Linked DNA regions of Struthio camelus. The protein of the gene in region 1 purifies or fractionates together with the protein of each later gene. This does not show direct contact. Links are inferred from orthologs where the notes say so. Each region holds a gene or a part of one and is shown on either strand. Other genes may lie near its edges.

Region 1 (7,117 bases):
GGTGACAAAGTGACTGCCAAACTGCCTTTTTTAATGGGAGAAGAAACATGCTACTTCTGCATGAACAAACTGTGCCCAGCTGCCATCCTCAGATGGGGGCGGGGGAGAAGGTAGGAAACGAGGGAGGGGAAGCCGCATTATTTCTCCTAGTCTTTAAACTATTTTCTCTTCTGCCCAAGCGCAGCTAGTAAGGGGCCCAAGCAACGCAGATCCAACTTCTAAATGGTTCATGAATCACCAGTTCTGACAGGCCACTTGATTTATTGTCTGAGGAGTCTAAGCCAAAGAACAGGGCAAAATCTTGGTTTCGCACTCCCCGATGCACTGCTGACAGAGCAAGCGACCTCAGGTTCAAGTCACTTGATCTCCACATCTCTTAGTCATCCCAGCTGGAGACTGGGTAAAAACAGTTTTCCATCCATACTAAGTTTCCTCTACGTGCGGACTTGCACCTATGCTTTTATTTTCTTTTCTGTTGCCACGTGCATGCCAGGACAAGAGCACTGAGTAGCAGCAAACACACTCTTCACATTGTGTGAAGTCACATTGCTTTTACACTTTTATGTGAAACTAAAACAAGAGCTTTTCCTCCTGCCCCCTCTTGTTTATTTCAGAACTGAGAAGACACATCACGAAACAGAAAGACAGCCCAGCAAACAGCTTCATGCAGTGTGCCATTATTATTTGCTGTTCCTACCCAAGTGTTAGAGGAGTTCTGCTGGACAGTCCTTTAATTATCCTAGTAAGTTCAGGATTAGCGATACAGCTTTCCACCGTGCTCCACATCTTGACAGTTTGCCTCTCCCCATGCTAACAGTACTAGCGAAAGGCACTTCAGTCATACAGTCCATAACCAAATACCCAAATTACAGCTGTACCTAGGGTTTGCACAGTCTCCTCACTCTGCTGGACTTGCTGTGACATCATCCTGCTAATGCCCATCAAACTCTCCGTGATGTTACTTGCACTCTCTGCCAGGCTCTCCTTTGTAGTCTTTCTGAAAGAGGAAGGGAAAAATAAAGGGGTAAGGGAGAAAATGATGTCTCTGGGTACTGCAGAAAAGTGCTGCTGACAGGGAGCTAAGAACAGAGCTTGGCACCCCACATCTCTGCCAACGTACAAAAGATACAACCAGGTTTTATTAACGCATGAGAAACTAAGATTAAGGTATGGACTCATTATCTTCACTAAACACTAAGAATCGCAACACGTTAAAGTCATGAGCCAAAACAACTGTTAGGCAGTGGATCAGAGTCTCATGGAGGCTCACACCTCGCTAGTTGTTAATCCTTGACTATACAGCTTCATAAAGTGGCACAAAAGCGCTGATACAACTTCGTTATCTTGGATTTCTGCTGCTTCACCATAAGCCAACTTTTCAATACACAAATTATATAAACTTAATCCAGTTCTGCATGCGAAAACAGACTGAAAAATGATCTGTTATTTGTTTATGAATCTGACTGGATTTAATGTAAAAAGCTGTCAGAAACACTTTGAAGGCTATCCTGTCCCCTTTTTCTGCATAGATGGGCCAACACCAAAAAATCCCTAAAATTATTACAATCCTTAACAGTTTAAAATCTACACAAAAGCTAAATGCACTCATAAAAGAAAATCTGTCCAAATACAATCAGGTGACTTACAATTATTACATCACTCCCTTTTAAAACCAGTGAATACCACATCTACTGTTTAAATCTGTTACCAAAACATAAAGGGGAATAGTTTAGTACCTTTGTCTTAAGGAGTCTCTTCCCTGAAGCAGCTGATCTTTCTCAGAGTTGTCAATAGCAATTTTGCACGCTAGATTTGCCTTTCTCCAAGCCGCCTGATTGCTGAAATCACAAGAGTACAACGGCGTAGCACGATGGTAACACTTTGCAAGCTAAAACGGTTTTCAACAAGGAAACTGCCATAACTGAGCACCCTATGTACACACATGGACTATTTCTACGTTATACCACAGAATAACGTGGTATAATAATAATATACCACATTCCCTTCTGTTGCTTCTCCTCCTGCGTGTATCTTTTATGGAGCAAGGGGATGAGGGATATTGTGCTACCTGTCAGAAAACGGTCCCTCAAGGCACTGCCTTACGCGCTCAGCCTTGCGTACCGTGCTGCTCCAAGGGGATTCGGCTCAGCAGACCGCGACTAGCGTCACGGGCAGGAGAGAGGGGACGAGGAGAACAAAGTCCTGCCCCTCCGTCACGGATCCGCTCTCGCCGTCCTGGGCGAAACGGCTTCGTGTCCGTGACCGTATTTGCGAAACGGGAATCTGAGAGACGCTGCACCCAAGTCAGGTACCTCCACGTTTACCTCGCCCCAGGGAACGAACCTGTACACAGCACCTGCTGCCCAGCCTACCTGAGCATTTGCTTTTTATGGTTTTCCACTTCCTGGAGCAAGGCTTGTTTCTCCGATTCTTTATCTTGTTCCTTCGCCATCTGTTCAAGCTCCTTTGACGGAAAGCAGAAACAGGAGGTTCTGACCAAGCGCTGTCACCATCTGCAAGTTGTGTGTCCCCGTCCCCCCCTCACCCCCGTGAGGGAAAGAGTTAACACCAAAATTCCCTCAGGAGTTAACACCGCCACAGCCTCGCCGCGCGGCTCGGACTCCCGAGCCCCCCGCCCGCCCCAAACCGGCCCGCGGTGCCTCGGCGGCGGCCGAGAGGCCGGGGGGGCCCGCGGGGCCCGGCCTCACCTGGAGGCGGCCGCGGAGCTGCTGGAACTTCTCCTTCACGGCGGCGTTGAGCTCCGCGAGGGCGCTCAGCGGCCCCGGGCAGTCCCGGATGTCCTGCAAGGCAACGGCGCGGTCAGCGCGGCCCGGGGCAGGGGAAGGAGGGGAGAGGAGGCGGCCCGGGACGGGCGGCGCTACCTGCACGGCCGCCTTGATCTCCAGGTCGAACCTGACGATCTCCTGGTGACAGACCCGCACCGGCACCGAGGCGGCCGCCGCCATCTTGGGAGCAGAGGCCGCGCCGCCGCCGCTGCCGCTTGGGCGCCGCCTGCTGGGGCGGCGGGGCCAGAGCCGGGGCCGGGGCGGCGACATCGGATAACCCCGGTGGCCTCGGCCGGCGGTGGCCGGGCTGCCCCAGGCGGGAGGGACCGGGCCCCGCCGGCGGCGCCCCCGCGCTGCTTTGCCTGCTGCCGCGGGAACGGCTCAGGGCATCAAGCGCAGGGATTCGGGCTTAAAATGCCTCACGTAGCTGAGAGGCTCAGCTGCGCCGCCAGGCCCCCTCGGAGCCTCCGCGCTGCGGCGCGCAGCCAGCGGCGTTTCTCGTCCGTATTAGTAATCCTTTGCTAAACGATTCCTGTCATATGCCCTTCGATACTGCGACTGCTACAATCGTAGTAACCTTTCCGCCAGCCAGGCCTTCCTTCACGCGCTACATCGGCCTGAAGAGAGGGGTCGACTCCTTTTCCGCGATCGGACTGAGCCGGGTCAGGCTCCCTGTGAGGAGGAAGAGGAGGAGGAGGAGGAAGAGGCCGGGGTGCAGGGCAGGGCCGAGGCGAAGCGCCGGGGGCGCGTCCCCCAGCCAAGGCGCTTCCCCACCTCGTCCCCAGCGAGGCGTCGGGGAGGGGGGGCGGCGCGAGGGCACCCGTCCTCCCCTCCCCGGCCCCGCAGACACCGCGCCAACTTCATTTAGGCCCTGACTTTCTGGTCTTTGGCCCTCAGCAGCCGGGAACATGGCTGATCCTGCTACGAAGAGGCTCTGGGAATAACGTTACCGCCTTCTGCGGCCCTGCAGCAAGCGGAAGGGGAGCACCACGTCGACCCTTCTGCTGTTTTCTGCAAACGCCTCCCGTTCTGGCCCCGTCTTTTCCCACTCCTGCCTTCAGATCAGGCTGCATCACAAACCCGATCTACACCCAGTTAGCAGGCGCTGGGGTTGGAGACCCCTTGGACGGCCGTTTCAGGGAGCCTGTAAAGCGACCTGGCGGTTTTCAGGCTAGCTCCCCGTGCTAACGCACTCATCCGGCAGCTTTGCGCGTTAGCTGTTACTATGAGCACTGACTAGGAGAAACCAGCCCGTTGTCTCCTTACCTAGCAGTGACTCCTTCCACAGGAAAACCGCAGCGCAGCAGGGGGACACTGACACCCTTTCCTTCGTACCCGTTCGGCACAGAGGGAGCGAGCGCTTGAAGCTTCCCGCAACGTCAGGCCCACGTTTCTGGGAGGAAGCCCGAGTCAACGCGTTACAGCAGCTATGCCCTACTGAACGCAGAGCCCCACGGCAGAGCGTTTAAGAGAGTACGGCACCGTTCAAGGTCACTCCACGCATACAACGATTTGAGACCATTTTTCCTCCACAATTTTTATTTTAAATTACAAAGGATGTTGCATACATTGATGAATTTGTATCTGAATAGAAGTGCTAGGGATCAAGGGTGACAGAGTAAACAAAGTCAATAGTTTAATTGTGCCTCTTTTCAGGGACAGAAAAAGAAAAGAAAAACTGCACAACTATTAACCAACATTAAACATTGTAACTCTTAACAGATCATGCTTTTAACAAGGTAAATTTATTTTCTAACAGAGACAAGACTTTCAATAAGTTTTTCTGAGCTCCAGTTGGAAGTTGATTACAGAATGTCAAGGACAGCATTACAGTCATGACCCCAAGCATAGGCAGAGCAGGATACCATGTTTTCTTTAAAATGCTTTTTTTCCCCTTGCCTTTCAACCACCTATGTCTGCGTGTGCCATCAGCCTTAAGAGTTCACTCAACCACAAATACTGAGCAATGAGAAGTTTTACTTAGATGAAATACTATTCTAGGATAGGTGATTCAAACTAGATTCTGTTTTTTAAGCAGAAGATTTTGTTAGGCTGGAGGGTGCTTTTGTCAGTCCTAAATCCAATCCAGAAGTTTTTCTTACTTGAGCCAGTTGACTTAACCCAAATTGGGGTTAATTCAGGTACCTAAACATCAAATATTCTTAAATGAAGAAAACCCCCTAACACTGATGTTATCTAAAGAGCTTGGATTTTTTTTTTTTTTATTGACATGAAAAAACTGTGTTTTAAAATAGCTCTCCCTTCACTTTTAGCTCCACTGCTCATTAGAAAGACAATAAATGCATAGTCAGGATTTGCTCTTGTGGAAGTTCATGAATGTCTGAAAGGCTGAGGATTATAAATTCAGTGCGCACACACACCTCCTTACCATGCTAGAAGCATTGGGGGAGAAAAACATGGCATATTGTGAAATGTAAATCAGAGAAAGATATAGACATTTTGTATGCTGTGAAGAAGATATAACCTAGTATTGCCATCTTTCATTAACGACATTTAAGAATCCCAATTTATATTGGGAGATATTCAAGAGTGCTGTTTTCTCAACATACTAATGCCCTTAATACAGTTACAAGAAGAATCAGTCACTGAAACAGTAACTGTTTGAAATGTACTTCACACAATCCCTGGGGTAAACAAATAAACTTCAGCTCTGTGCAAGGCTGTGTCAATAAGCCAAGACCACATCTAGCAGCACACTTCACTAGATGATTCCAACTGAAGCCTCTAACTTGAAAATAAAATAAAAATCATGATTAGGTGCGTTCTTGAAATTCAGGTCGCAAGGCCAAATACAGATCCTAACATTCGTGTTACATAATTGGGTTATGCCTCAACAGAATTTCAGGAAGACTAGCAAGCAAGTTTGAGGAACAGAATTGCATCTGCTATTTCTGCTGAAGGCAACTTTGAAACAACCCTTTGAAATTCTCCTGATAAAGCCTTTTACAGCTTTAAAAAAATAGCTATGTTTAAATGATGTACGGAAAAGAAAAGCACATCCATTCTTTACATTTTGTGAATAAGCTGTTTTATTAATGAAGGCAAATATCAGAAAATTGTTTGGGTTGGGGGGGTGTCTTGTTTTTCAAACAAAATCCAAACTGACACCACGGTATTTCAGAAGCATCTGCTTCCTTTTACGTTAGTTAAAACAACCCTTCATCCGTTTTATGTTTTGTTAAAAACTTTTTCCTGGCCCACTTCTCTCAGTACGGAAAAAGTCTGCTATACATAAGAATTAGGAAATGAACACATCTGAGCCCGACTCTCGCATCAGCTTTACAGCAATGCAACTTCATTAAATCACAATGATTTAAACTGGTATGATAAGAAAATCCAGCCCATCCACACCTAAACATAGCTTTAGTTGTAACTAATTCCCTCTCATCCAAAGAAAGTACTCAACAAATATCCGTAAGCGTGTTCAATAAATCATGGAAGTGAAAGCGTTAGCAAAGGGGGTTTAGGGCGTAAAAACACCCCCCCCCCCCATGAGGACCCCCAAATTTTGCAAGACCATTCAAAAACTGGTCTTCCATATAAATACAAAGTGGCTACTATTGAGAGGAAATGAAATCAGATCTATCCAAACTTTCTTCAGGACACTTTTATCAGTTCTGATTCGCTTTCAGAAGGGTTAGGCTTGAAGAGTTCCGGGGGAATGAAAAACATTTAGTTCTAGACGTACAAGTAAGGCACAATATAAAGCCACATCATAATCTGTCATGAAGGAAGTAGGAAAGGACAAGAATCATACATGGTACAGTAGAACAAGCAGTCCATCAATTCAAAAAGTGTGGCACCTAAGTTCAGACTGACGAGATCTCAACAAGAGCAGTTATGACAGCATGCTTTTAATATGGAAACAAATTCTAGAGAATCCAGTGTATCAGATAAAGGAAGAGCTTTTGCTTGTATTAAATCAAAAATGTATAATTGTTTTTGGATACAGGATTAAAAGTGAATACTCACAATGCCTACACTCAAAAACAAACAAAAAATCCAGGACTTCATTAAGATCCACATACCATGTATGAACACCGAAAATCTTTAGAAAATGGTCTTCTCTAAAGATCATCCAAAAATGCATGCCACAATTGCCAAAAAACAGAACATGTACATTTGCTGTTTTTTATACCCTTATAAAGATTTTTGTTTGTGATAAGTATACACTAAATGTATATATTTTAATGACACTAGAGGAAGCAGATTGTTACTGGCATTAAAGTACAACCATTTCTAGACGGTTTAAATGCCACAGAGTCCCCTGGTTAAAATGTAAAGCTGCACAGCTTGCCTATGTCACCTTT
Region 2 (6,985 bases), on another chromosome or scaffold:
GTCACTCACTTGTGACTATGTCCTCTTGTAAAGTATTATAAATCATTATTTCTATGGAACATAGACTAGGAATTATTCTTTCTAGGAATATAGACTGCATATGCCTACCGTAGAAAAGAGTAAGTTCAATCTGCTTGTTTTCCACAGTTCTAAATGATTCTATGAGTCTTCCCCCGCAACCTTAGTCAGAGAACCGCTGCCTCATTCACTGTTTGCAATGATTAACGACACAATAATTCTTTCTGTTCTCATCACGTACTCTGGAATTCCTGAACCACTTGTTATATACAATCATACCACTGCACCGAGTGTAGATTGCTCAATTTTCATACCGGCCTTTTCTCTGGCATTGTCACCTCTACGTAGGCGTTCTTTACAAAACAAAATATTTCTCAGGAAACGTAATATATGTAAATGAGAATACTAGCAAGAACTAAGATTAAAGCCAATATGGGATCCAACTTAAGAAATGCCAGTTTTAAGTGTTTTGAATTTAACAGATCTTTAAATTCTCATCGGAGACAGAGCTTCCAACGGTTGTAATTACAGTTGGAAGTGCTCGGCACTTCGGCAATCAAAACTGAATCATCCCAAATGAGATACAGAAAAATAAAGTAAAGTCAATAGAGATCTGTGGGGAGTATGGTTTAAGGCCTTTTTTTGTATCCTGTAAAACTGCGTAGACAGAGATTTAATTTGATTTCCCAGTATAACATTCAACTTAGCTTCCTTTCCCTTTCTTCAATTTCCCACCTCAGTCATTCTAAACCACTCAGTTCTACAAGAAATAAGGTGAGAATTATTTTTGTGACTTTTTCCTGTACAGTGCACAATGTGAATAAACCAGAATTAAAAAGACTGATGTTCCAAGGGGAAATGCACAGCCACCTAAATAATATTATTGTTAAGACATCTTCAGGCAAACACTGAATCACACTGACAAAATTTCTCTTTGCCTGTGTATGTCAGTGTAAAAGCAATTTTCTACTAAAGCCTTAGAACATGTCGGAAGTATCCTTGTCTTTTGACAGTCTTCAAAAAATGGTAATTCTAACAAACTACAAAATGTAACATTTCCAGGCTTTTCTAATTTTGCTATTTAAAGTGGCAATTATCTTGAAGATGTAGCACGTAAGAAAGAAATGCGGAGCTTAAAATGGCCTGTAATATTTGATCAAGTTGACAAGCAGAATTCTACGTTGCTCAGAAATTCCAATAGTCAGGGTGGGTCAGGACCCTCAGGCTGTGGTTCCACAATCACTTTAAACTGGCACATACCCACACTGCTGCTGAAGACAGGTCTCACATTTCCCTCCGCCTTTACTGACACGTTCCTGACCCCCCCACACCTATCTGAGGGTTTGTAGGACCACCCAACAGAAGTAATGAAACAAGAGAATTAACTCTCAGACTAGCCACTTCCCTTCGCTGTACAACTTCAAGAATACCAGTGACAGCAGAAAAGAAGGGATGATTGTCAGCAGAAGAAGAAGGGAAGATTGTCCCTTTTGTACAATTGGAAAAACAGTCTCATGTGCCACTACACCAAGTCCTCCTTATGATTTTCAGATATGCAAATCTTTCATCTATGACTAAACAGAAAGGGAAGAAGAAAATCACAGTATTGACCATCTCTCAAAACAAAGTTAAATAAAAACAGATGCAACTGTCTATTCATCTACATCACTAACCCAATATGTTATCAATTGATAATACCATAACTATTTTCCTCAAACACCTATTCCTGTTACAGCAACTGAAGACTTCAAGCTCAAGATAAACAAATCAAGATGTTTTCTGGCAAACAAAAAGCTGTTCTCATGTGAACGGTTTTAGTGATCATAAGTAGGTACGTTCTTTTATCTGTGATGTTTTACCATACCCTCTGTCGAGAGGTTCCCATTAAAGCATAAAGCCCTGCTAAAATATTTCCGTAATGTATTTTCCTAACTAAAAAGAGTTTTAACAAATGCAGTGGGTTTGAAAGCCCACTACAAGCAACACATAAGACCACATCCCTCCCTCTCATCTTCTAAGTCCAAAGCAGACAGCAACAGAAACAGAGGCAACTAACTCAGTACACTGCAGGGAAAAAGATGAGAGAGCAAACCCTCAGCATCTGAGTTTTTCCATTGACCCACAGAAAAGGAGAACACAAGCAAGATCTTACAATACAGGAGTCCTGTTTTCCTATCTTTAAAGCTTTGTCATCCACCTGTGTGCCACCTACACATACAAAGCAATATACCTCTTAAACCTTTTCCACCCTCTCAAAAGACAGCTGTGATCAAGTAACGTTCCGATGTAAAACTCTAGAGAGTGAACTAATTTGGCTCATGCAAAGTAAGCTTGATAAAGGCCAAGCTGCCACGGTGCAGTTCCCGTTACTCTCCGTACGGCTGTTTCTGGAAAACGCGCCTGAAGTTTGTCACAGCCCCTCCTCGCAGACGCTCGACAGCAAAACCTGGCACGCATTAGTCACACCGAAGGAGCAAAAAAGGCTTCAAGGAAAATCAAGTGGCATAAACATGAGTGACAGGGCAAAAATTAAGTGACATCGAAAAGGAGCGGGCGCCAGACGGTCACAGGGGCAGAACCACCACAGCGCACACGGTGCTTGCCCCCCTGCTTCCCCCGCTCGCTGTGCCCAAGCCGGTCAGCCCGGGGAACAGAGGCACCTTGCCCAGAGGCGAGGCTCCCTCGCCGCCCCCGGGCCCGGCGGAGAACGGCTCCGGCCGCCGCAGGCTGCTCGGCGCAGCCCGGCCCCTCCTCGCCGACGTGGCCGGTCCCCCGCCCCGCGCCGCGGCCCAGCCCGGACGACACTCACCTGCACCTCTGTCTCCGGCGGCCACTCGGTGTTAACGAGCAAGTCGTACAGGATATTCTCCTCCTCACCCTCCTCCTCCCCCTCGCTGACAGCCGCCATCTCCATCTCCGCCTCCGTCCCACCTCCCCCGCGCTCCCCGGCGGCGGCCATATTCGCCCGGGCCCAACCCACCGCCGCAGCGACTACGGCGCCCGGCGAAGGCCAAAGTGCTGAGGCGACGCCGCCGCGCGCCGGGCGCGGCCTCCAGCCCCCTCCGCGCTGCCCCCTACCGGGCGCGCCGGGCCCCGCCCGGCCCGGCCCGGCCCGAGCCCCGCCCGGCCCGGCCCGTGCCCTCCGGCCTTGGAAGCCCTGTACCGGGGGAGGGTGGGGCGGAGCGGACCCTGGGCTCGTGGAAGTGCGTCTAGCTTCAGCTCGAGAAAGTTCAGCGCCCGGCGGCTTTGCCTTGCAGCCCTGCGGGAGAGGGCGATAACGGGCGAGAGGCAAGGAGGGGCAGAGAGTTCATACACCTGCAGAGAGCGTGTGTGAGCGAGTGTGTAGGAGAGGGGCCCTGCTGCTCCCTGCTGCGTCCTGACATACACCAGTGCGTTTCCCAGAAGCACTGACTAGGCTGCCTGTGCTCTCCCGGCCTTCCTCCACGTACATCCGCTGTGGAGGACTGCTTGTGGCTGGGCCTAGGGCCTCAGCATGTGAGCCAGCCCTCCCCCGGCACCTAGAGCGCGAGCCAGGCCTTCCCCGGCACCTAGAGCGCGAGCCAGGCCTTCCCCGGCACCTAGAGCGCGAGCCAGGCCTTCCCCGGGACCTGGAGCGCGAGCCAGCCCTTCTTTGCGACCTGGAGGGCGAGCCAGGCCTCCCCCGCGACCTGGAGCGCGAGCCAGGCCTCCCCCGCGACCTGGAGGGCGAGCCAGGCCTCCCCCGCGACCTGGAGGGCGAGCCAGCCCTTCCCCGGGACCTGGAGGGCGAGCCAGGTCTTCCCCAAGACCTGGAGGGCGAGCCAGGCCTTCCCCGGGACCTGGAGGGCGAGCCAGGCCTTCCCCAAGACCTACAGCTCGAGCCAGCCCTTCCCCGGGACCTGGAGCGCGAGCCAGCCCTTCCCCGGGACCTAGAGCGCGAGCCAGCCCCTTCCCAGGACGTGCAGCGTGAACCAGCCCTTTCCCAGGACGTGGAGCGCGAGCCAGGCCTTCCCGAGACCTGGAGTGCGAGCCAGGCCTTCCCCGGGACCTGGAGCGTGAGCCAGCCCTTCCCTGGGACCTGGAGCGCGAGCCAGCCCTTCCCTGGGACCTGGAGCGCGAGCCAGCCCTTCCCTGGGACCTGGAGCGCGAGCCAGGCCTTTCCCGGGACCTTGAGCTCAAGCCAGGCCTTCCCCGGGACTTGGAGGGCGAGCCAGCCCTTCCCTGGGACCTGGAGCTCGAGCCAGGCCTTTCCCGGGACCTGGAGCTCGAGCCAGCCCTTCTTTGGGACCTGGAGCACGAGCCAGCCCTTACTTGGGACCTGGACCTCGAGCCAGCCCTTACTTGGGACCTGGAGCTCGAGCCAGCCCTTCCCCGGGACCTGGAGCACGAGCCAGCCCTTCCCCGGGACCTGGAGCGCGAGCCAGCCCTTCCCCGGGACCTGGAGCGCGAGCCAGCCCTCCCCCGGGACCTGGAGCGCGAGCCAGGCCTCCCCCGGGACCTGGAGCGCGAGCCAGCCCTCCCCCGGGACCTGGAGCGCGAGCCAGCCCTCCCCCGGGACCTGGAGCGCGAGCCAGCCCTCCCCCGGGACCTGGAGCACGAGCCAGCCCTTCCCCGGGACCTGGAGCGCGAGCCAGGCCTTCCCCGAGACCTGGAGCGCGAGCCAGCCCTTCCCCGGGACCTGGAGGGCGAGCCAGCCCTTCCCCGAGACCTGGAGCACAAGCCAGCCCTACCCCGGGACCTGCAGCTCGAGCCAGCCCTTCCTCGGGACTTGGAGCACGAGCCAGCCCTTCCCCGGGGCCTGCAGCACGAGCCAGGCCTTCCCCGAGACCTGGAGGGCGAGCCAGGCCTTCCCCGAGACCTGGAGGGCGAGCCAGGCCTTCCCCGAGACCTGGAGCGCGAGCCAGGCCTTCCCCGAGACGTGGAGCGCGAGCCAGGCCTTCCCCGAGACGTGGAGCGCGAGCCAGGCCTTCCCCGAGACGTGGAGCTCGAGCCAGCCCTTCCCCGAGACGTGGAGCTCGAGCCAGCCCTTCCCGGGACGTGGAGCTCGAGCCAGGCCTTCCCCGGGACGTGGAGCGCGAGCCAGGCCTTCCCCGGGACCTGGAGCGCGAGCCAGACCTTCCCCGGGACCTGGAGGGCGAGCCAGGCCTTCCCCGGGACGTGGAGCTCGAGCCAGGCCTTCCCCGGGACGTGGAGCTCGAGCCAGGCCTTCCCCGGGACGTGGACCTCGAGCCAGCCCTTCCCCGGGACGTGGACCTCGAGCCAGCCCTTCCCCGGGACCTGGAGCACGAGCCAGCCCTTCCCCGGGACCTGGAGCACGAGCCAGCCCTTCCCCGGGACCTGGAGCTCGAGCCAGCCCTTCCCCGGGACCTGGAGCGTGAGCCAGCCCTTCCCCGGGACGTGGAGCACGAGCCAGCCCTTCCCCGGGATGTGGAGTGCGAGCCAGCCCTTCTTTGGGACCTGGAGCGCGAGCCAGCCCTTCTTTGGGACCTGGAGCACGAGCCAGCCCTTCCACGGGACCTGGAGCGTGAGCCAGCCCTTCCTCGGGACCTGGAGCGTGAGCCAGTCCTTCCTTGGGACCTGGAGCGCGAGCCAGCCCTTCCCTGGGACCTGGAGCGCGAGCCAGGCCTTCCCCGGGACCTGGAGCGCGAGCCAGGCCTTCCCCGGGACCTGGAGCGCGAGCCAGGCCTTCCCCGGGACCTGGAGCGCGAGCCAGCCCTTCCCCGGGACCTGGAGCGCGAGCCAGGCCTCCCCCGGGACCTGGAGCGCGAGCCAGGCCTCCCCCGGGACCTGGAGCGCGAGCCAGCCCTTCCTCGGGACCTGGAGCGTGAGCCAGCCCTTCCCCGGGACCTGGAGCGTGAGCCAGCCCTTCCCCGGGACCTGCAGCTCGAGCCAGCCCTTCCTCGGGACCTGCAGCTCGAGCCAGCCCTTCCACGGGACCTGCAGCTCGAGCCAGCCCTTCCCCGGGACCTGGAGCGTGAGCCAGCCCTTCCCCGGGACCTGCAGTTCGAGCCAGGCCTTCCCCGGGACCTGCAGCTCGAGCCAGGCCTTCCCCGGGACCTGGAGCGTGAGCCAGCCCTTCCTCGGGACCTGGAGCGTGAGCCAGCCCTTCCCCGGGACCTGGAGCGCGAGCCAGCCCTTCCCCGGGATGTGGAGCGCGAGCCAGCCCTTCCCTGGGACCTGGAGCTCAAGCCAGACTTCCCCGAGACCTGGAGCGCAAGCCAGCCCTTCCCCAAGACCTGGAGCGCAAGCCAGCCCTTCCCCGGGACCTGGAGCGCGAGCCAGCCCTTCCCCGGGACCTGGAGCACGAGCCAGCCCTTCCCCGGGACCTGGACCTCGAGCCAGCCCTTCCCCGGGACCTGGACCTCGAGCCAGCCCTTCCCCGGGACCTGGAGCGCGAGCCAGCCCTTCCCCGGGACCTGGACCTCGAGCCAGCCCTTCCCCGGGACCTGGACCTCGAGCCAGCCCTTCCTTGGGACCTGGAGGGCGAGCCAACCCTTCCCCCGGACCTGGAGCTCTTGGGGCTGAGCTTTTGTCACAGGCCAAGCTTTCCTCGCACGCACGTGCTCCATTTGGTAACAGCCATGCAATGCAGCTGGGAAAACGGCTGTAGGAGCTGCCCGCTTGGTTTCGGCTGGATGTTTACTGCCAACCTTTGCTGAGGAAAATTTATCAATGTGTGTCTCATTAAAGAAAAATCTTAAGAATAATAAGTCTAAGGATGGTCTTCTCTCTCTTCATACTCCCCTTTGCAGTACCTGCTCCCAAGGTAGGACCAGAACTCTCCTGCCGTGGGGATCGCTCAGAGGATCTTATACCTGCTGCCCAGCTAAAGCGCTGGAGCAAGATGAAAATTGTGGTGCTGCTCAGCAGGAACATGCCCTGTCAGCAGGGCTGCAGTCCCAAAGGGACGCCCCAGGGAAAATTCCTGTAGCTGCAGCCCTGTGTTGGGTGTCCAGAAATTGATAGTAAGAAAATTTAGGGTAAAAAC

The links. Proteins that work in one complex are often made in the same cells at the same time.
Region 2: the proteins of BNIP1 (region 1) and NBAS purify together in Homo sapiens (co-immunoprecipitation; 3 studies listed by BioGRID and IntAct, with this or other methods). This does not show direct contact. The link is inferred for Struthio camelus from reciprocal best matches to the Homo sapiens genes BNIP1 and NBAS.

What each region holds. Positions count from the first base shown.
Region 1 is NC_090954.1:8,598,449-8,605,565, reverse strand, and holds the start of BNIP1 (vesicle transport protein SEC20), read right to left. Parts: upstream 3,096-7,117; 5' UTR 3,057-3,095; coding exon 2,883-3,056; intron 2,802-2,882; coding exon 2,709-2,801; intron 2,465-2,708; coding exon 2,373-2,464; intron 1,839-2,372; coding exon 1,737-1,838; intron 998-1,736; coding exon 879-997; intron 1-878. UniProt on the Homo sapiens protein: As part of a SNARE complex may be involved in endoplasmic reticulum membranes fusion and be required for the maintenance of endoplasmic reticulum organization. Also plays a role in apoptosis.
Region 2 is NC_090944.1:21,407,799-21,414,783, reverse strand, and holds the start of NBAS (NBAS subunit of NRZ tethering complex), read right to left. Parts: upstream 3,008-6,985; 5' UTR 2,978-3,007; coding exon 2,828-2,977; intron 1-2,827. UniProt on the Homo sapiens protein: Involved in Golgi-to-endoplasmic reticulum (ER) retrograde transport; the function is proposed to depend on its association in the NRZ complex which is believed to play a role in SNARE assembly at the ER. Required for normal embryonic development.